3 linked regions of the Drosophila melanogaster genome follow. The protein of the gene in region 3 purifies or fractionates together with the protein of the main gene of each other region. This does not show direct contact. Each region holds a gene or a part of one and is shown on either strand. Other genes may lie near its edges. The genes, in order: mahj, l(2)dtl and Cul4.

The links.
Region 1: the proteins of Cul4 (region 3) and mahj purify together in Drosophila melanogaster (affinity purification with western blotting; one study listed by BioGRID). This does not show direct contact.
Region 2: the proteins of Cul4 (region 3) and l(2)dtl purify together in Drosophila melanogaster (affinity purification with western blotting, with the first as the bait; one study listed by BioGRID). This does not show direct contact.

What each region holds. Positions count from the first base shown.
Region 1 is NT_033778.4:21,623,496-21,631,114, reverse strand, and holds the start of mahj (mahjong), read right to left. Parts: upstream 6,086-7,619; 5' UTR 5,920-6,085; coding exon 5,510-5,919; intron 5,451-5,509; coding exon 5,300-5,450; intron 5,178-5,299; coding exon 4,359-5,177; intron 4,300-4,358; coding exon 4,027-4,299; intron 3,962-4,026; coding exon 1,838-3,961; intron 1,770-1,837; coding exon 1,649-1,769; intron 1,585-1,648; coding exon 1,487-1,584; intron 1,425-1,486; coding exon 1,062-1,424; intron 629-1,061; coding exon 568-628; intron 510-567; coding exon 300-509; intron 243-299; coding exon 238-242; 3' UTR 1-237. Other genes in the region: PTP-ER (protein tyrosine phosphatase-ERK/Enhancer of Ras1), read left to right, coding at 6,878-7,619. UniProt on the Drosophila melanogaster protein: Probable substrate recognition component of tsome E3 ubiquitin-protein ligase complex. Plays a key role in cell competition via its interaction with l(2)gl.
Region 2 is NT_033778.4:23,700,523-23,705,917, reverse strand, and holds l(2)dtl (lethal-(2)-denticleless), read right to left. Parts: upstream 3,442-5,395; 5' UTR 3,284-3,441; coding exon 3,241-3,283; intron 2,967-3,240; coding exon 700-2,966; 3' UTR 515-699; downstream 1-514. Other genes in the region: Alg3 (ALG3, alpha-1,3- mannosyltransferase), read left to right, coding at 1-387; sigmar (salivary glands marred), read left to right, coding at 5,054-5,117, 5,328-5,395. UniProt on the Drosophila melanogaster protein: Substrate-specific adapter of a DCX (DDB1-CUL4-X-box) E3 ubiquitin-protein ligase complex required for cell cycle control. The DCX(DTL) complex, also named CRL4(CDT2) complex, mediates the polyubiquitination and subsequent degradation of E2f during S phase.
Region 3 is NT_033778.4:8,101,740-8,107,936, forward strand, and holds Cul4 (cullin 4), read right to left. Parts: upstream 4,580-6,197; 5' UTR 4,278-4,579; intron 4,201-4,277; 5' UTR 4,111-4,200; coding exon 3,786-4,110; intron 3,719-3,785; coding exon 3,474-3,718; intron 3,413-3,473; coding exon 2,952-3,412; intron 2,901-2,951; coding exon 2,714-2,900; intron 2,616-2,713; coding exon 2,423-2,615; intron 2,365-2,422; coding exon 2,228-2,364; intron 2,174-2,227; coding exon 1,784-2,173; intron 1,723-1,783; coding exon 1,444-1,722; intron 1,384-1,443; coding exon 1,231-1,383; intron 1,168-1,230; coding exon 1,072-1,167; 3' UTR 869-1,071; exon of another isoform or gene 806-868; 3' UTR 521-805; downstream 1-520. Other genes in the region: Tmem63 (transmembrane protein 63), read left to right, coding at 1-165; udd (under-developed), read left to right, coding at 4,717-5,196.

The sequences.
Region 1 (7,619 bases), about 14 Mb from region 3:
GCATTCGTATTTGATTTGTACAAAATTCAAAAATAACAATTTAGATTTTAATGTAACAGCTTAATATCTAGAGTGCTTATGCTACGACGACTGTTGCTTGCTCATCCTTCCATGCGCGCTGCGGACAACTAAGAGGTTCAAACGAGACGAGACGAAACAGTGGGTGAACAGTGGAGCGGAGCAGTGGATCGGTGAAGGAACAGTTGTGTGTGTTGTTGGTTTGGATGAGGAGTGGGCTCAATCTAGGGGAGGAGAAAATACAAGTCGTACACGAACAGAGTCTAAAGATCTTGAGTTACCGTCTGAGCTGCTTCTATCGAAGTATTCCAGCACATCAAAGTCGCCATCGTCGTCGCCATTGTCGGAGCCGTCGTCGTCGTCACTATCGTCATCGGAGTCCAGCGGCTCTCCATCATCGTCGTCCTCATCCAGATCTTCGTCATCGTTGTCCGAGCCATGAAGGTTACGAAGCAGGGGGAAACCCAGTAAATTTTGACCTATAGCAAAAGCTAGGGAGTAAGGAGATTTAGCAACGGATTAAATGATTATAATCAAAATCAAACTTACTGTTCTCGGAGCCCGTATCCGAACCGTCCTCATCAGATTCGGGCACCTCCTCATCATCTTCCTGCAAGCATAGACATAATATTTAGTTCAATATCATCCATGCGCCGCATGAGGGTTCTCAGATCTATGGCAGCGCCGATTCCGACTCCGCCACCACCATTAAGATTCAGATTCCCATTCCCGCCACTGCCATTGCCGCTGCCATTGCCACCCAGTCTACGTGCCCGCCGTCGCACCCCAACAATTGAGCTGTTGGGTGCATGTTGGCGAGAAAGATTTGGACTTGCTTGCGTGGCGGGACTTAGCCGGCGTAGCTGATCCTCCTCAAAATCGTTGGGACCGGCGGGTGCAGCGTTTTCCGCCGGCTGTGGGCGCTCCTCGGGTGGCTCCTCGAAAACCCGAAGCAGCGAAGCATCGCCACCATCGTTAGCGTTTGCCGACCCCGGCGCCACTGCGTCCGATACCTCGCTGGCCAGCTCCTTAACCGCACGCACCTCTTCCGAGCGCTCGCTCTTTTTAACGCCCACAGCGTAGATCTTCACGTAGGTCTCCTGTTTGGACTCGTAGCCACTGTAGTCTTCGACCACGGCGATCAGACTCCCGTTGGCGCTGACGCTCAGATCGTTTATGTTGCGTTTAACGTCAATGGTCGCAATGCTCGAGTAGTCGTAGGCGTCCAGAACGTTGAAACTGGTGTCGTAGGTGGTCGTCTCCATGTCATGGTCCCTATCAGCCCCCAAGCTAGCACCGTAGATTACATGCATCGGGGAGAAGGTGCAGTTACGCTGGTCTAGCACCGGCACTGTCTGCAGCAAATGAAAGGTGCGCAAGTCCCACACCTCGGTATTGGCAATGATCTACAAATTGTGTTGGAAATATTAACATGGTATAAATAAATCAACACAAATTTCGACTGTACCTCCAGACAGTTGGGATGGAAGACGCCTGATATGCACTGATTAAACTTGTCGAACTTGTGGATCTCCTTTCCGGAACGCACATCCCATAGAACGCCATCTAGGAATTCGATTCAGTTACATTTCAGGTAACTTTATACTTATAAATGCATTTATGTAATTACCCGACAAAATCAGCTCATCGGTTCGGCAAAGAGTTGCTCTGTTTTTGGTGTAGAGATTAGGTATGGTTGGCGTAAACGAGGCCACCTTGGAACCAGTGTTTATGTCAAAGAGCGTGGCGCACTGTGAAAAAAAGGTGAATTTATTAGTTGAAACTGCTATAGATCGTAAAATAACTCAAATTAGTATACCTCATTCTGGGTGCCCAACAAACGATCCTGCACCGTTTGACTGAACTCACAGTACGTGACATCGGGAAGTCGCAACTTTAGCTTGAACTCATCGTCCGCAATAGACCATAGAATGCTGGTGGGTGTGCGCCAGAAGCTAGATGTGATGACCAAGTCTCCGGCTCTATTAGCCTTAATAGCATCAACGCTAAAGTTGTGACAGTTGGAGAAGAACTGCTCCACGCCATCGTTCATGTTGAACACTCGTCCGTCGCCCTGCTGCGTGCCCACAATGATGTATTTACCCGCCAAATCGCAACAGGTGAACTCTAGGTCCTCGTAGTCCGCCGATCGAATGCTACGCCATGGTGAAAAGTGCGTGTGCACATAGCGACGGTCAAAGCGACTGGTATTAAATCCGGCTTGGGTTCGAGCATGCCGACTAGTCAGGTTGTAGTTCGAGCTTAGCAATCGGCTGGGCTTCGGATCTGGACACTTGTGCGGCTCGTACAAATCAAACTGCGGGCAGGTTGTCACCGGATTATTGCACAGCGAGTGCTGGTTGGTGAGGTATTCCGTTACGATGGTATTTAGGGTGATCCTCTTGGGATGCAGTTGACCATCTTCGGCAAGACCAACTGACATGCCACCAGGCTCCATTGCCTGCTTCTGGATAGAGCGGCTAACTGAACTTCTATCCGTCCTCCTTATTTTTATGGGCGTCTGCGTTGTGTTAAGGGAGCTAAAATTTGGTATGCTGACTCCATCTCCCGCATTGCTACCACCGGCTCCTGCCGGCGAGGAGTCCTCACCAAAACTTCTGTTTAAGTCTCCATTGCCCATTATCGCTGCGTTCACATCTTGCATGCGGCTTCGCAGACGATTTCTAGACAGCGAGCTACTACCACTGGGAAGACTTTTGTAGTCGAAAGGTGATTGATGAAAACTGCGCGTAGTGGGAGTCTGTAGCGGAAGACCCACCTCCCGTTGCAGCATTTGGGCTGTCTGGGAGAGACCGTTGCTTTCCAGGTGCTCGAAGATAAGCTGATACAGCTGCTGCTTGTTATACTGGATGCGTGTCTGGGCGATTACATTGGCCTTGTGCATGTTGGACAGCGATGGATCCAAAGGATTATTTAGCGGTTTCGTCTTACCCGACACTCGTTCTAGCAACTCCAATGCGTACTTTTGGAAGATTACATGTTCCGCGCGCTTCTCCTGGAGTATGGGATCCCGCATCAGCGTCTGGAGTTGTCCGCTGGCAAAGAGTGGAAGCTTGCTGACGATCTGCCTGACCCGATCGGAGCGAGCAAGTCCCGCCAAGGCCCTACAGGCCATTCCACGTATACAGTCCGCATCCGTAATGGGTCCTTTGGTCTGCATCAGCGATAGCAAGACCACAATGCCATTGTTGGAGCACACGGACTCCCACACACGTTCAATCAGCTCTTCGGCGTACTTATGGTTGGCCTTGTTCTTCCTGGAGGACGTTCCAAACTTAATCAGGCTGGTGCCGCTGTCCTTGCGAATGATCGGAGAGCAAACACAATGGCACAGCACCGCTAACGCCGATTTGATAACCTCTGCATCCGAGCTAATCTCTCCTGCAGCAGCGCCCAGAACCGAGCAAAATCCGGAGGTAGTTGTCTTGTCTAGCATCAGCAGGCGCTCGCAGAGCACAACATAAACTCTTGGGATAATACAGCATACGCTGAGCACGTCCAGAGCCGAGCGCACCGTCTCGGAGCGTCCACTGTTCACCCAATCGTAACTGAAGGCGATGATCCTGAGTAGCATGGTGATTCCACCAAGCTTCATTAGCTGATCCACGGGTTGCCAGTGCGCCCGGATAGAAGTGTGCTCCTGGAGCGTGCGAATCTGGTCGTTCAATTGGTCAAAGGTCAGTTTGGCAGCAACCGTGGGATTCTGATTGAAATAGTGGGCTGATGACGGTGCCGGGGATGCCGCATTTGTTTGGCACAGAAAGCTGTTGTACTTGTAGAAGAAGTGCGCCTCCATATAGCGCTTGAGGGCTACGCAGACGTGGCGCACCATTTGTCGGGAAGCACATTCTACGTCTTCGTTGAAATCAGAGTCATTATCGCTGTCGTTGTGGCTCGGATCAAGAATTTTTAGTACGGAAATCTATTAGGAAGAAGTTAAGGTAATTGACTTTAATCGAACTTCTTTCGTTTAAACCATTTACTTACGACATTGTACAGCTTTCTTAAACCATCCTGAGCATCAAACTCATCCAATATGACCTTAAATTGGAAGCTCAGACTGAAGAACATGGTGGCATGGCACTTTGAGGAGTCGTGGCAACGACCCAGAATCCAAAGCGCGTAGCGAACTAGTTCTGAAATAAGTGGTCTTTGCATACTGCATATGCGTTCCATGGCGTCTTCACAGTATGCTAAGTAGTAGATGGCGATGGACACACCAGTAGTCGCCAAACTGGGGCGGGGCACTTTTAACAAAAGCTGTAAAAAATAGTAAAGTTAAAAATAATTACATTCCCTCTACAAGACCATTTACTGACCTCCAGTCCACCGTGTGAAATGAACTCTAAAGCAAACTTCTTGTGGCAAAGAAGGGAAGCCAGATACTTCAAAACTTCGTAGGCCAAGCAGGTGTCCCGGCGATCCAAGTTCTCCAGGTAGCCAAAAATTAGCTGCATCACATTGTTTTCGAAAGCCATGGCTAGGAACTCTTGATATTCGCCCAGGCTGGTCAGGAAGCGCATGATTAACATTTGGCTGGTATCTGCTGTGGCCGGGTGCAAAGGAATGTACATCCGTTTGTAATAGCGAGATACGGAAAAGGCATCTCTGCTGTTCTCGAACAGAATGGACATATTAGAGGCGTCTCCATGCTGCGAGGAACTTGCTCCCAGCCCACTGCCATTGTGCTGCGGCGATTGAGGAGCCGATGCATTACTGGCGCAGGCCACCCAGCTAAGCATGCCCGCCGTGCTGCTGTCAGCCGACAGATTGTGCATCGACGTATTGACATCTGAAGTGGCGCTCTTGCTGATCGCCAGGAGCATGTGCAGACGCTTGATCATCTTTGGCACCAATCGAATATTAAGATCGCGAAAGTTTATGGCTATGTCGCTCACTTCCATCGCTTCGGCTAAAAGCCCGGTGGCATAGCTCTGAAGCGGTTCAATGCTGTCCTCTGCCCAAGAGTAGATGCGATTGATGGTTCCATCGCCTTCGGCGGTCTGAAATACTGCAGAGGTCTCCATTCCTGGCATTATCTCCAGAATGAGGCGGCAGGCCAAGATGTTTAGTTCTAGAGAACTGCGACTGACATTCTGGCGACTGAAATAGTTCTCTCGCAGGTAATCGTTGAGGAGCTAGTTAAATAAAATATTTCACTTTAGTTAGCTTATGTTTTGGAAATTCTAAAACACCTGATTTTAAGAAAACATTTACATTGCTTTTTAGAAAAATAAAAATCACATGACTTTATTCTTACTTTGCCCATGAAGGTATCCTTCCGAAAGAGCAGCTTGAGTAGCAATCCGTACTGGCAGCTGGGATCGGCTCTATATGGATGTCGTGAGTCCAAGGGATCCGGATCCTTGCGCCGATACACGTCCTTCTCACGCTCAAAGATCTCCGCAAGGCTGCGATAGTAAAGGTATTAAGTTGGACCCATGCGTTAATGATTTTGAAGCACGCTTACCTCCTGAGAGTGGGCACTGGATCGTATCCATTTTGGGTCTGCTGTTGCTCCCACTTGTCGATAATCTGGGTGAGCTCCTTCTTGGTGGCTTGGCGACGGTCGGCGGCAGCGGTTTCCTCGGCGTTTCCACCGCTATCGCTTTCGTTTTCCGCATTTTCCACGCTCATGGCGTCGTCAGCATCAGCGTCTTCGTCGGCCTCTGGTTCCCCCCCATCCTGTTGTTCAGCGGCGTCCTCTTCCTGGTTATCGCCAGCCTGCTCCGGCATATCCTCGGCTTCTGGCTGCTCCTCCTCGTCGCTCTGGTAGGCCACAGCCACAGCTTCAGCCATCAGTGCCGCTTCAGTCGCGGCCTCTGCCTCGGCCGCAGCCTCTGCTGCGGCCGCATTCTCGCTTCCGCTGCCCTCAGACATCGAAATGAATTACTGGGTTTTGGATGCACTAGGTCTTGATCCAGTGGCTTTCTTTGCTAGATTTTCGACACAGCGAAACTTACTTCTAATGGCGAAATAAAGCAAATAAATAAGGTATTAAATACCACGCGCTTTTCGCAAAATTAGTGTGGCCTTTTGCTATTGTCGTTGAAATAATGAAGTCAGCTGTCGCACAAATTTGTTTGTTTTCGTCTTTCGGCAAATTAAACCAATCTAAAAGGTCTTTAAATAAGTCTAAAGTACACAAAAGGATTTAAATGCCTAACTCAATTAATTATTTCCAAGCAAATGCACAGATAAAAGCGTGCCAAAGAGCAACGTGCAACTGTGAGGTAAACGGAACGGTGGTAATAGGAACACTACGTTGTTGCTTCTAAATTGTTCACAACTTTGTAGTGATTTCATAAACAAAAATACAGGTAGGTTGAAATACTATTTAGAACTAAGTCTGTGATCTTTTACAACAATTTTTCTGGATGCATGCAAAATATAATTGTCTGATACCATCTCAGTTGATCGATTGAATTAACTATCGCCCGTGTACAACATCTGCATTACAAATTCTGCAACTCCTTGATGTAAACACTAGATCTGTTAACCTATTCTTTCTTTTTATTTTAAAAGACACTTGAAAAATGCGGTTAAATTAGGTACAACGTTGCCAGGTCTTGGTGCAGTTAGTCTGCGGCCTGGCAGCACGGTAAGCAATGAAGGCATTGCCGGATCGATTACATACGCGGTCTGGTAGCCCTCCATGCTTTAGCTCTGAAAATGTTGTGAAAAGAAAACGCTCTTTTCCCCATGATTTGCGTCCAATTCGGAAGTGCTAACTGTGCGGGCGAGATAGTTATAATGCCGATCGAGTGAGGACAAGACACTAAACGGGCGGAGCGACTGCGCTGCGATCGCCCCGCTTCAGCAATTGTGTGTGTGTATCATGGACAAGCTACGAAACAACAACAAGGAGAATGCACCCATTGAGTACCCCTACCCACAGACCCCCCGTCCCACCCACGCCGCCCCCTCCGACACGACCCCACTTGAAGCTGGCGAGGATGCGGAGAGCAACAAGAGTACACCCTACTTTACGCCCCTCGAGTACCTGCAGACGTCCTTCGAGTTTCCGTCGCCCACGGTGGAGGTTGGGGGCGGGGTTCCGGGCTTTCCCGAGCACGAGGATCAGGAGGAGGAGGTCTTCACCCCCCGGCAGTTCACCATTACCAGCCCCCATCCAGCAGCCCACGTCCACCATCCATCCAGCTCACAGTCTCCCACTTTAGGCCGCAAGTTCAAGAGGTTATCACAGTATGATCGCCGATCCTGCTCGCCGCATATTAATACCTCCAGCGGCGAGGAGCGGGTCAGTGGCCGTGGCATCGACAAGGAGAACACTATGCCCAAGGGCGGGTCAGTCGACCAAGACCTAGAGAACAGCTTGTACTTGTCGAAGAGCGAGCACAACTCACCCACCATCCTGTTTAAGGATGAGTCCTCCACGACGCCGGGACTGGAGGCCAGTCGCCTAAGCTACTCCCCGAAACTACTATCCTCCATCAACAACCTAAACGTGTCCGGTTCACCCCTGAACATTATTAACTCGGCCGGCTACAAGAACGGCAACTTCTTTCGCTTCCCCGAGATCGATCATGTCGTGCAGGATGCGCCCATGGATACAGTCT
Region 2 (5,395 bases), about 16 Mb from region 3:
ACTCCGGCACCCGCACAGGCGGAACCGGAACGCTATGGCATCCACTTCGATCGCTGCACCCAGCTGGCCCTGCTGCCGTTCTTCCTGTGCAACCTGGTGGGCGTGGCCTGCTCCCGATCCTTGCACTATCAGTTCTACGTCTGGTACTTCCACTCGCTACCCTATTTGGCCTGGTCGACGCCGTACTCGCTGGGCGTGCGCTGCCTGATCCTCGGACTGATTGAGTACTGCTGGAACACCTATCCCAGTACGAACTTCTCCAGCGCTGCCCTTCACTTCACCCACATCATACTGCTCGCTGGGGTGGCCAAGCAGCTTGTCCAGACCATGCGGATTAATAATGCGGCCAAGAGGGAGCAGCAGGAGCAACAGAAAAAGCTGCAGTAAAATGGTCTGAGTGCCACTTGTTAGCCATGAGTGCCACATATAAACCGTTTTGATTATGCCAAAAAAAAAATTGAATAAACAGTACATTAAACGAGTTAGTTTTTAGAGAATCAATCAAGGCAGCTTTAAAATGGAGTTACTTTTATTCGGGTACGTTAGTCTTTCGTATCTTTTGGCTCTGTACAGAGGGCGGGGAGTTGGTTACCAACTCGTCCCGCGATAGATGCAACCTACTATCTACATAAAATAACTTAAACAATGTCCGCTTAAAACTACAAGTGCAATAATGGTGCTGTGGCTCGAGGCTCCGCGTCAATCGCTGCCCACCGCCGTCGTGGGCGTGCGCATGCTGAGGGGCGTGGCTGCGGGCGCAGTCACTGCCGGGGGATGGGGATCAGAAGAGGAGGGAGCCGCATTCGTTGTCGTTGTTTCCTCCGCCGGCACACTGCTACTTCTCTGAATGCTAAAGAATCGCAGGAGCGTCGTCTCGCTGTTTCGCCTACTGGAAGTGGGCGTTTTTGGCTGGGATTGGGAATGGGAGTGCGAGGAGCTGCCAGCCGGCGTGCCACCGCCTCCGTCCGTATGGGAGATGCGTCTGCGGGGCGAGGCGTGTATCCTGGGACTGCACTCTGACTGCCGCAGACTCTGGAGGCGCGGGGATGCCAGCACATCGGCCTGCTGCTCCTCGCTGATCTTTTCGCTGAGCGTCACATGGGCCCTGCCACTCATCAGCTTCTGTTTGCGGATATTCGTCAGCCAGTCCACCTTCTCCTTCGCCTTCCGCTTGGGCGACATGATGCCCAGGTGCGGTGCCTCGCCATCCAGCACGTAATTGGGCAGGTTGGAGGTGGGCGAGTAGATGGCAGCGGAGATCGGCGGCGGATTAAGCGCGTCTGCAGCCACCGCTGCTGCTGCCGCTGACGTGGTTGGCGGGGAGGTGTACACATGGTTGACATTCTCACTCAAAGGGGAATGACTTGGTGTGCTGAGAAGCTTGTGCAGTGGTGAGACATCCTCCGCGGCAGAGTTCTCCTTTTGTCTCTTGCTCGGCGAGGCATCTTCCTCGTTTATGGACTGAAGTTGTATGTGCCTGCAAGCAGTTTCCTGGCTAGAAGGTCCAAAGAGCCGCCTTCCACGTGACTCCAGTGGCTTCGCCCGTTTCTGGGGCTGTTCTGTGGCTTCCGTCTCCTGGCCAGCTACGCCCAGCATTTCCAGGAACGAACGCTTGGTCGTCGTCTTTTCCACGGAACCTGGCGTCCTTTCATTTTGATCCATAAGGCGCTTCAGAGATCTTGGCGTGGACTCCAGATCTCGAAGATTGTACTTGTGATTTCCACTAGACGGACCAAATGCCTTCTTGCCGAACTCCCTGACGTAGGAGGCAGTTCCTCGGTACTTTTCCGCCCGCTCCGCCTCGCTGAGGCCATCCAGGTCGGGTCCAATCCGCCAGATTTTGTGACGCGCATCATCGCTGCACGTGACAATGGGGCAATCGTGGCTGGAGCCCCAGGCCACGCAGGTTACCTCCACCGTGTGTCCGGCCAGTGCAACGAGCGGCTCCTCGGCGTGGTCCAGGTTCCAGATGTAAGCCCGCTCGTCGCTGCTTCCGCTCAGCAGATACTTGCCGTCCGGGCTGAGGCAGGATTTGATGTAGAACGTGGAGTTAAGGAGTCCCTTGTAGCACGCCAGCGGGCGCTGCGAGTAGGAGGCCAGATTGTAGCAATAGATGGTGTTGTCCATGCAGTTGGCATACAGCCTCGTGCCTGACGCGTCCACAATGAGGTTGGTGAATCCACGGAAGGTGGAGCTGCCGGCATATGGCAGCTTGTGCCTGGGCAGTGGCTCCTTTTTGTAGGCTGTGTAGTTGCGCCGCAGGTCCCACACCTTGATGACTCCGTCACCGGCACCACAGGAGATCAACGTATCGTTGTCCTGGAAGGCCAAGCCAGTGATGCTGCTCGAGGTGGTTCCTCCGGCCATCTTGGGAGTGCGTGTGCGCTGCTTGCGCTGTGAGACTGGCGTGCCCGGTCCGCCCGTGTGACCGCTGTAGATGCAGTTGTCCACGCGTGACGTGAGGTCCATATTGAGATTGGCCCTGATGTCCCAGATGAGAATGGCGCCATCACGGCCGCCGGTGGCGAAGACAGCGGGATCGGTGCGCTTAAAGGCCGCCGACTTGACGGACCTTGTGTGACCCACATAGGAGTTCAGGCCGCGTATGCCGGAGCCCGCCACCTCCCACAGTCTGGCAGTGTGATCGCCCGAGGCGGAGACGAAGCGCATCTGGCCGGGTGCCCATTCCAGATCGAAAACGGCGTTGAAGTGGCACTGCGGGCCCACCAGGGACTGCTCCTCCGGCTGGTGGTTGCGCTGGGTGGTGTCCTGCAGCGTGATCTTGCCGTCCTCGTTGGCGATCGCCAGGATGTGCCGATAGCCATCGCAGTTGGCGAACTTGGCGGAGAAGATCGGCGGTTCCGGATTGAAGTCTGGGCAGTAGTTGGCCGGCGCGATGCCCCGCCAGCTGTCCTCCTTGGCCACGGAAAGGCGGCGCAGGGCGAAGTCGTAGGTCCTCTCATTGCCTAAAAAGAAAAACGAAAACCAGAGGAGAAACCATGAAAATAGTGCCGTGGCTTTGTTTTCCACGGAACTTCTGCACGATCAGCAGTTTCCAGTGGAGCAACTAGTCGGGTTTCTTCACCCCTTAGGCAATGCTCTGTGGTCAGGTGGCCGTGCAGGATGCACATTGACCAGATGGCCAGGAAAACCCATTGAAACCTTTTAAAAATCAACACCTTTGATCGCAGGAAATTCGAGCGCCAAAAGTGAGATTCTCCCGCCAAGCGAAAGACTCACCGTAGCCATGCTCCCTGGCCCGCAACTTGTTGTAAATGTTCATTGTGCACTCCTCTTGGCGGCTGCTGCTCGTAATCTGCGTTTTCAACTTTATTTCCTGCTATTTCCTCTGAAATAAATCAACCTTCGAGGCATCGAAAATATTTTTCAACGACGCAGCTGGACTCTTGGGCAGTGTGACCGTGCTCAGATGGGAAGTAAACGCATTCTGTTGCGAAAGACTGGAGAACCGCCAAAAGTGAAAATAATACTAGCCACGGAAGATTGATTCGTTTCAGTCTAACATTTGGTTGCTACAAGCAGCTGGTCTCACAGGCTGATATTTTGTTTTTGTTGCTGTTCGCTGAGTTGTTTTATGTTTAATCGAAGTTGCGCATAAATTTAGCTGCAAATTGTACGCAGTTCGCGGGCTTTAATGCAGCCAACCCCTTTCAGTTGCTTTCGCTAGCACTTCGATTTGCGGACACTGGTCATCAAGCACACATTACACCCATACACACACATACTTGGACTCAAGGACTCAAGGATTCGATTCAAGGACTGCAGCAACAACAAAAACAAAAACAGGTGAGCGCCAAATTGGATTTCTATTCTGGTTTCAAGGGGGCGGGCATCACACACAGCCTGTTGCAATCAATAACACCCAGAAGGTAAAGAAACCCTCCTGCTGCGAAAACGGAACACGCAAATGCAGGACAAACAGGAAAGCCAGGAGAAGAATGGCCCAACGAACTCAAGTACTCTGTGGTTTCGGCTGTAGCGCACTTCCGCACTCCACTGGCGTCCTTGGGGGACCCACACTCCGTTCCTTTGAAGGGATAGGCCTTCTTTTATTGCACTTCGCGTGACCTTAGCCATTTGGAGCAGTCCGTGTCCTGACACGGTTCTATTGCCGGGCGTTATCTAACTGGAACTGGCATTCACTTAGTTAAATTAGCAACCAGGGATGCCCTGCTCCAGATTAGGCTTAGTCACGACTTCTAGTTAATACCTATGTGTGTCTGAACTCTGTTGACCCGCCAGCGGTTTCCTCCCCCCAGCACTCCGTCACCCAACTAGCTCTGATCGGGACTCCTTGTTTGGACAGTTGGAAGCACTGCCGCATTTCCATTTCGGGCTCCAGCACGTACGCCGCGCCGTTAGAACGACCTTATAGATACGGTCAGAGGGGCGCAGTTGGTCATCCATTATTAATACGGCAGCATTCCTATATCTGTGTGTGGAAAGCAGCAAAGTTGTGGAGCAGCGGAGCTCTAACTTTGACTGTACATTAAATTCCTTATATCAAATTTATTCGTTTTATGTTGTGTTTACGATGATAACCCAATTCGAATTCCCCAGAATGTCTTATTATCGTTAGATTCCTGTTTTGTTTGTTAAAAGCTTGTGACGAACACTCGATAAGAAATTATTCGTTACAAATAAAGTTGTGCGTACATTAATCGTTTTGTTTTGTTCTTTAAATAGAAATGTGACTTATGTTAGTTGATTCCATTTATTAGTCTAAACAGACTTCAGTCCTACAGGACTCTCCTCCAATGTTTCAGTTCCCAGCACTATAGGTAAAAGTAATTGCATTTGAGTGACTCATTGTAGTTAAACGTAGGCCACACAGACTGTTTTATTGCCCACTTCACGTAAAGCACAAAGAAACACAGAAGCACAGCGAAGAAAGAACCAGGTTTCCTTTATCTAAAGATACGGCGCTGATGTACATGGCCCAATCATTCATGTTTTTATATCTCTGTCTATAATTCCCTTATCAATGCTTGCAACTGGAATCGGTGTAATATATGTGTGATATATAGTCGCGATGTCGGTGGCCGGGCTTCGACAATGTCTGCTGCTGTGGAGCGTCGACTACTGGAACTTGGAAGGTAAACCGCGGAGAAGAGCGGAGCTGATTTGCTTTTCAGTTGCCACCATTCAGTGTTCAGTTTTAAGTTTTCCTTGGTTGCTGAGTTGTTGCTCCGTTTTGTTTGCTCGTACTGCTCGTATTTCTTTGCCACAATGCTTTAGTCAATGAATATGCAGCGATAATAATGTCTGAATCTGAATTCCAATCCCACCCCTCCCATCCGCTTTAGTCATGGCGGACAATGTCTTCAAGTCGCACGATATCGGGCTGCGGGCGCAGAAGAAGATCCTCTCACGC
Region 3 (6,197 bases):
GAAATTGCCGGTCCGGCACCCATCTACGTGCCCGATGTGCTGAAAGATAATGGGATAAGGACCAGCAGTGTGCGACCTTCGGCGGCAGCATTTGGGGGCTACGGCTCCGACAGCGTGTCCGAGTACGACAGCTCACAATACAGCGTCAACAGTGTTGAGGCGTAAATGGTATTATTGTCGGGAGACACTACAAATATTTTTGTAATATATCTACAAAAGCCACTAAGAACTTTTCAAGTTGGCAGCTTTGATTTGCATACGAAAGAATGACAGGAGGATAACAGCAAGGCAATTTGTGATACCTAAACCAGCCTCAATGTCATTTTTAATATGACCCCTGCACGCGAAAGCGATAGCAATATTTATTTCTGATCTGTATATAATCTACCTAATTTCCCAATTTTATCTGTAACTGTATATATACTATATTCCTTTGCTAACTGCTTAACAAAGGGCTCGACGCTGATTTTTTGAAGCAGTAATGCTGGTAATATTTTACAAATGAAACACGAAGTGCATTATATTTTCAAGTAATTTTTTATTTATGGTAAATAAAAAACTATTAAGTTATGCGTATCTCTTTTTTGCATACAGAGCTACTAGTACGAGTTATAATTATTTTAATGTTTCCTTTAGAAAATTAGCCTGCAAATGTCACTTCTATTGTTAATTGAAGGAGAATTATCAATTAAAAGTAAACAAATTAGAATAAGTCCAATAAATAAGTTTATTGAACACCTAGTTTGCTTTCGGTTCGAAAACTTTTTTAAATTGCTGGAGGCATCGACGTTCCGAGGGCGATGACCTATTTCAAAGGACTCGGCTTGTAAAATAAACGCTTAATTTATTGTATGATAAGGTAACTTACAAAAAGAACTGTCGCTACACTATTAGCTGGCGGATTGTTCAACGATTTAGTTATAGAAACGAAATTACAGCTGAAAAACTCTGAACATCGCCGATCGGACGAGGGCACTCCAAAAACTTCATTAGACTGCTAGTATGTATGTGTATGGTATAGAGCGAATTACAATCGAATCGGTGTTCGGATTTCACAGAATCTGTGGCCATTTATGCCACATAGTTGTATTGGTTTTGATTATCCTTGTCTCGCTCCATGTAGTCGCGGTCGATGAGCGACTCGATTCGCTTCTTTAGGTCAGCGGGCTGGAATACCAACGAACATATTAGCTTCTTTCTACTTAGAACAAATAGGATTAGTATACGGACCTTGACAGGGAAGGTAAGCTGGTTGAACAGCTCGGTGATGAGAAGATTATGGCTCAGCGTTTTTCGCATTTTCATAATGCGCACAATAGCCGCATCAATTTGATACTGACGATCCTGAAACACACGCTCCTCCGTCGCCTTTTGCTCCTCATTCTAATGGAAAAGGGGAAAGATTAAGTGTGTGCAAATTACATCAAAACTAAAGCCACTTACTGTCTCCTTCATCTGTATTTGGTTGATCTTGATTCTAAACAATTTGTTTGTGAACTCATTGTTAAAATCAAACTGATCGCCATCCAAGATTTCGCGGCCTTTCGGTGTTTTTGTTATGACGCGGGCGCGCCCACAAGCCAGGGACTGAAGTGTTCGACGCAACTCTCCATCCTCGATGAGGGTGGCGGCCAATATCTCCTCGTAGCTCAGAACTGGCTTATCGTTAAACAATAGAAGCACAAGCGCTTGAAACAGCGAGACCAACAATTCTTTCGGTCCCTGTGAAACATACGTAAACATTGCAATCGCATAGAACATAGTAGGAGCCATTAGTAGTTACCGCATCGAATTGAGCACGCAGCATACAATTTCCTAATGTAGGCTGCCACTGCAACTTCCGCCCACTATGCTTTTCCAGATAAAATTTGTTGAAAATCTGCTGAGGATTGATGAACTGTGGCGGCATTGTGACCTCTGTAGGTGCATATGTAGGCCAGTAGCCCATGGTAAGAATGCTGACGCACAAGTCCAAGTTGTGGACATCGCGGTTGTTGCTTAACGCGTGTCCGCGGAACGCAATGTTGATATCTCGGCTCAGTTCCATGTCCTTAAACATGCCCTCCAGCTTGGACGTAAACCCTCCACCGCACTCCTGCTTAAGCTTGGAGAGCATACTCTTTTCGGAATCCACTGATGCCGATTTGCCCACAAGTAATCGTTTGGCCAAGTCCTAAGATGGTATTCGTTATTAAATAATGCTCGACATACAATAGATGGACACAACCTTTTTGTAAAACGCTTCAAATACATCTTTGCCATGTATAAAACGAAACAGAACCATGATTTTATCTAGAGTCTTTTCCAACTCCTCATCTGTGGTTCCCTTGTTGCCAGATCGCAGTTTCATATCTACGTATTTAGCTAATGGAAGAATAAACTTTAGCAAACTCGTTTAAATATAGTGACAGTGGGCGCTTACCAATAAGCTCGGCCGGCTTGTTGGCACGTTGGTTGATAAAGAACTCAAAGGCCTCGCGCAACGAGTTTGTGAATTTCTCATTGTGCTCAAAGCAGGTGCGAACTATCACATCCATTTTGTCCTTGAAATCGAGCAAATCTTGGACCATGCTCTTATCCTTCTCGGGATCGATGACAATGGTGCGTCCCTTTTTCTGAAAGTAAGTATATTAGCGCGATCTATTAATATGTTTTACTGCAGTTAAAACAAAGGTATCTTTAAATAAATTTATACTACTTAACATATCCATACCTTAATGAAACCGTTGAAATTGCCGCACAGCTCGGATGTTCCATTTTTGACTCGACTAAGCAGCCCGTACAACAGTGTAAGGTCACTCAGTCTGTTGTCTTCCAACAATGAATCCAAGCCCTTCTGCAATATTGACGTTAGGTGTTCGGCAAGTAACTCTTTTTCCACATTGTAAATCAGTGGATGTCTGTAAAAAACGCATTAATAATTGTTTTTATTATTGACTTCGCCAGCATACTTGGTGCTCGAGTCCAGATAGTGACGCAAACGCTCGTTCTCCTCGGCCAAACGCTTGTTGACGTGTTGTAAGTACTCGGGAACTTCCAGTTCTTGCATCTTGCGTTGACTCTCAGCCTTATACAATTGATTGGTTGCGTCGAGGAACTTCTCCTCAAAGGAGCTGGTGTAGATCTGCAGGTCGCATAACATGCGAACCAAGCTCTTCAGCAAACCACGGTCCACGGTGGAGCCTTGTCGTTCTTTTTCAATAAGCGTTAGTAAACCGTCGACGGTTCGCTTTTGGACAACGCTGTTTTGAGCAAAATGGATGCGAAAAAGGTCCAGCCCCATGTCCCAAATCGAGTGAACGGTCGAATTTTGCAGCACATAAGTTCGATCCATATACAAGAATATGCTGCGAATCATGATCATTTGTTGGCAGAACGAGAGCCACCAGTGGTTGATCTTTTCCAGCAAAATCTAAAAGACAATAAAAGTTGACGAGTAAACCTTTAAATGTGCTCCTTAAACAGCAACTTACCAGTTTGTCCATGCTACCGCCGGTGAGCTCCTTGAGCTTAATATTGCGCTTTACGTGTTGCTCTGTTAGCTCCTTGAGTTTCGCGTATAATTGTGCATCCATCTTGTGGCTACACATGTTCACCACCGCCTGGTAGAGCTCCTCCAGCGAATATTTAATGGGCTTGGAGAGTTGGATGGCGATAACGGCTTCTTCAAGCTTCACGTACGTGTCCTTGGAATAGTTATCGGGCAGTGTAGGCTTATCTAAGGAAGGAAGGAAGGAAGTTGAATCATGCAGTATACAAACAGTTGAGATCTAGACGGGACCTACCCTTAAAGTTCTTAATCACTATCTTCTTGACATCGCCAGGCTTGCTGTTGTGAATAGCCCCCATGCGATTGAGGAGATTTGAGGTAGTTGAAGCCGTGCGGATCTCGCCATGGCTGCCGCCTAGCTTGGAGAAGTTTGGCAGGCGCTCGCCGTTGGTGGACGCAGAATTCATGTTTTGGGCAGCGAAGGCACTGCGGCCCACGCTCGAGGCGGCAGCAGCGGTGGGGGCGACGTTCTCGGCCTTCTTCAGGCAGGCGGCAATATTCTCTGTGTTCTCGTGCAGCTCAGTTGTGTCCATGGGCTTGTACTTCTTGGCCGCACTCATAGCTTAGGGCCCCTGCTGCCAGCAGGATCTCCACTCCGCTCCTGCTCTCCTGATCCTGCCCTGCTTTCGTCGCACCGGCTTTGCTTAGTCCTGGGCGTGGAGATCGGTTATTGATTGCTGGCTTTTCCTTTAAGGGAAGGGATTGCAGTTTGTATTTCGATACGTACCCTTGAAATGATTACCAGCAAATATTCGTAATATTTTTGCGACTTTTGCACTGGGGTCGTCAAGAAATTGGCAACTTGCGAACTCAAGGCAAATAGACTTCCTGTGAATTTTCCGGCTGCGAAGTAGATTTCTCCGACAAACGGCGTCCTTTTGGACAAATGGGGTTCCTTCGACGCCTGAGAGACTATTCAAATCGACAAAACTTCGGAAGTACAATTACACAGGCAACATTTTATTATTTCGCTTTTGGTTGCATGCGGAAAATATTGCTTTTTGGGATATCGGACGAATCAAAACATCGATTGGCTGCGGGTAATCGATAGCTCAGCGGGCAGCACTGCCTATCGATATTGGTGTGAAACAGGTTAACATTGCCTATCACTGTTAGCACGACGCATTGTGTTCGCGACGCATTTATGTTCGCTTTCGCCATATAAAATGAAAACAAAAGATGAGAAGCCATCGCCTTTGAAAACTGCACCGCGTAAAATAAAGGGTGAGAATTTTCCAGCCAGAAGGATACCCGCAAATGTTTTGAAACGCACGCTTGAGATCGCCACCAGTCCCGAAGATGGCTTTTGGGTGAACCAAAACCCATCCTGTGCTCCTCCGGCCAGTAACGAGTTTTACTTCAGCGTTCGACGATCCACTGCGTACGAGAAACTACGACTGGCCCGGGATTGCCTTATGCAGCGGGACTACAAGAACTTGGCAAAAATACTGGCCTCCAATCATATGGGAGAAACGCTGCTCCAAAGGGCGTCCTTTCAAATATTCACGGAATACTCCAAGGTTCTTCAAAAGTGCCCAAAGTTCTACACGAAAATGGAGCAGTTGCGAGTGGAGCCGACTCCTCCGACGAGACCCACAGATGAAGACATAGCATTAGACGATTCATTAAATGCTATTCTATCCTAGTTACCTTTTTTAATAACGACGAAGTTAGGCAAGAAATATAATATAACTACCTCATAAAAAAACGCATATTAAATTGCCTATTAAAACTGCGTCCATCCCACTAATATATAGTGACGTATTTGGGTGGTCCAAACCAGCCACTTCCATTATTTCAAAGAAATCAGTAATGCACTCTAGTAATTTTCCATAACGTATCCCAGCTGCGCAGCATTCGTTTATCTTTGGCAGCGCAGCCGTTCTTGTAAACATCCTAAAGCCTGACCTAAGCAGATTTGACTGCCCTCTTTCAACGCTACCTAATCTTAAGAACCCAAGAGCGAGGCTCTCCCGAAATACAAATATTGTTCAAATACTGAGGCTTCTCCTCAATCCAATTTGCATTTGATTTTTAGTCTTAAGCTGAGATCCAAAGAATAAAGTCGTGAAACTATTTCTCCTAAAAACTATTTTTTATTTCTTGGCGTTGTCCTTAGTCAACTGACGGGACATTAGTTCGACTCATAAATAAAACAACAATTTTACTGGCGCAGTCGGTAGGATACAAAAGTATCCGAAAAAAAAAGAACCTTCGAGTGGAAAATAAGTTAAATTTTATAGTCCAGTGCTCGAAACATCTCCCAAAATAAATTCGTGAAAACTCTTCAACTTGGATTATAATTCCAATTCGGTTATCCAATAATAAGTGGAAGTGAAATACGAAACAAAAATATTAAGTCCAAAGGCAACTAAGTTTTAAAACCAACATATAAAAATAAAAAATTAAAACAATATAGAATTTTAATAATACAACACAAAAATTTACAAAACAAAAAAAAACAAACAAGTGAAACTAGAAAGCTTAAAAATAATAATAACATTGAATCCGAAACAAAACAAAAAAATAAAACACAAAAGTTAAAAATTTTACAATAAAAATGTCACAACCAATTATTGCGCTGAGCGACATAAACCTTGCCGAAGCCCGTCGGCAGCTTAAAGACATTATGCCATTCAAGGGTGAT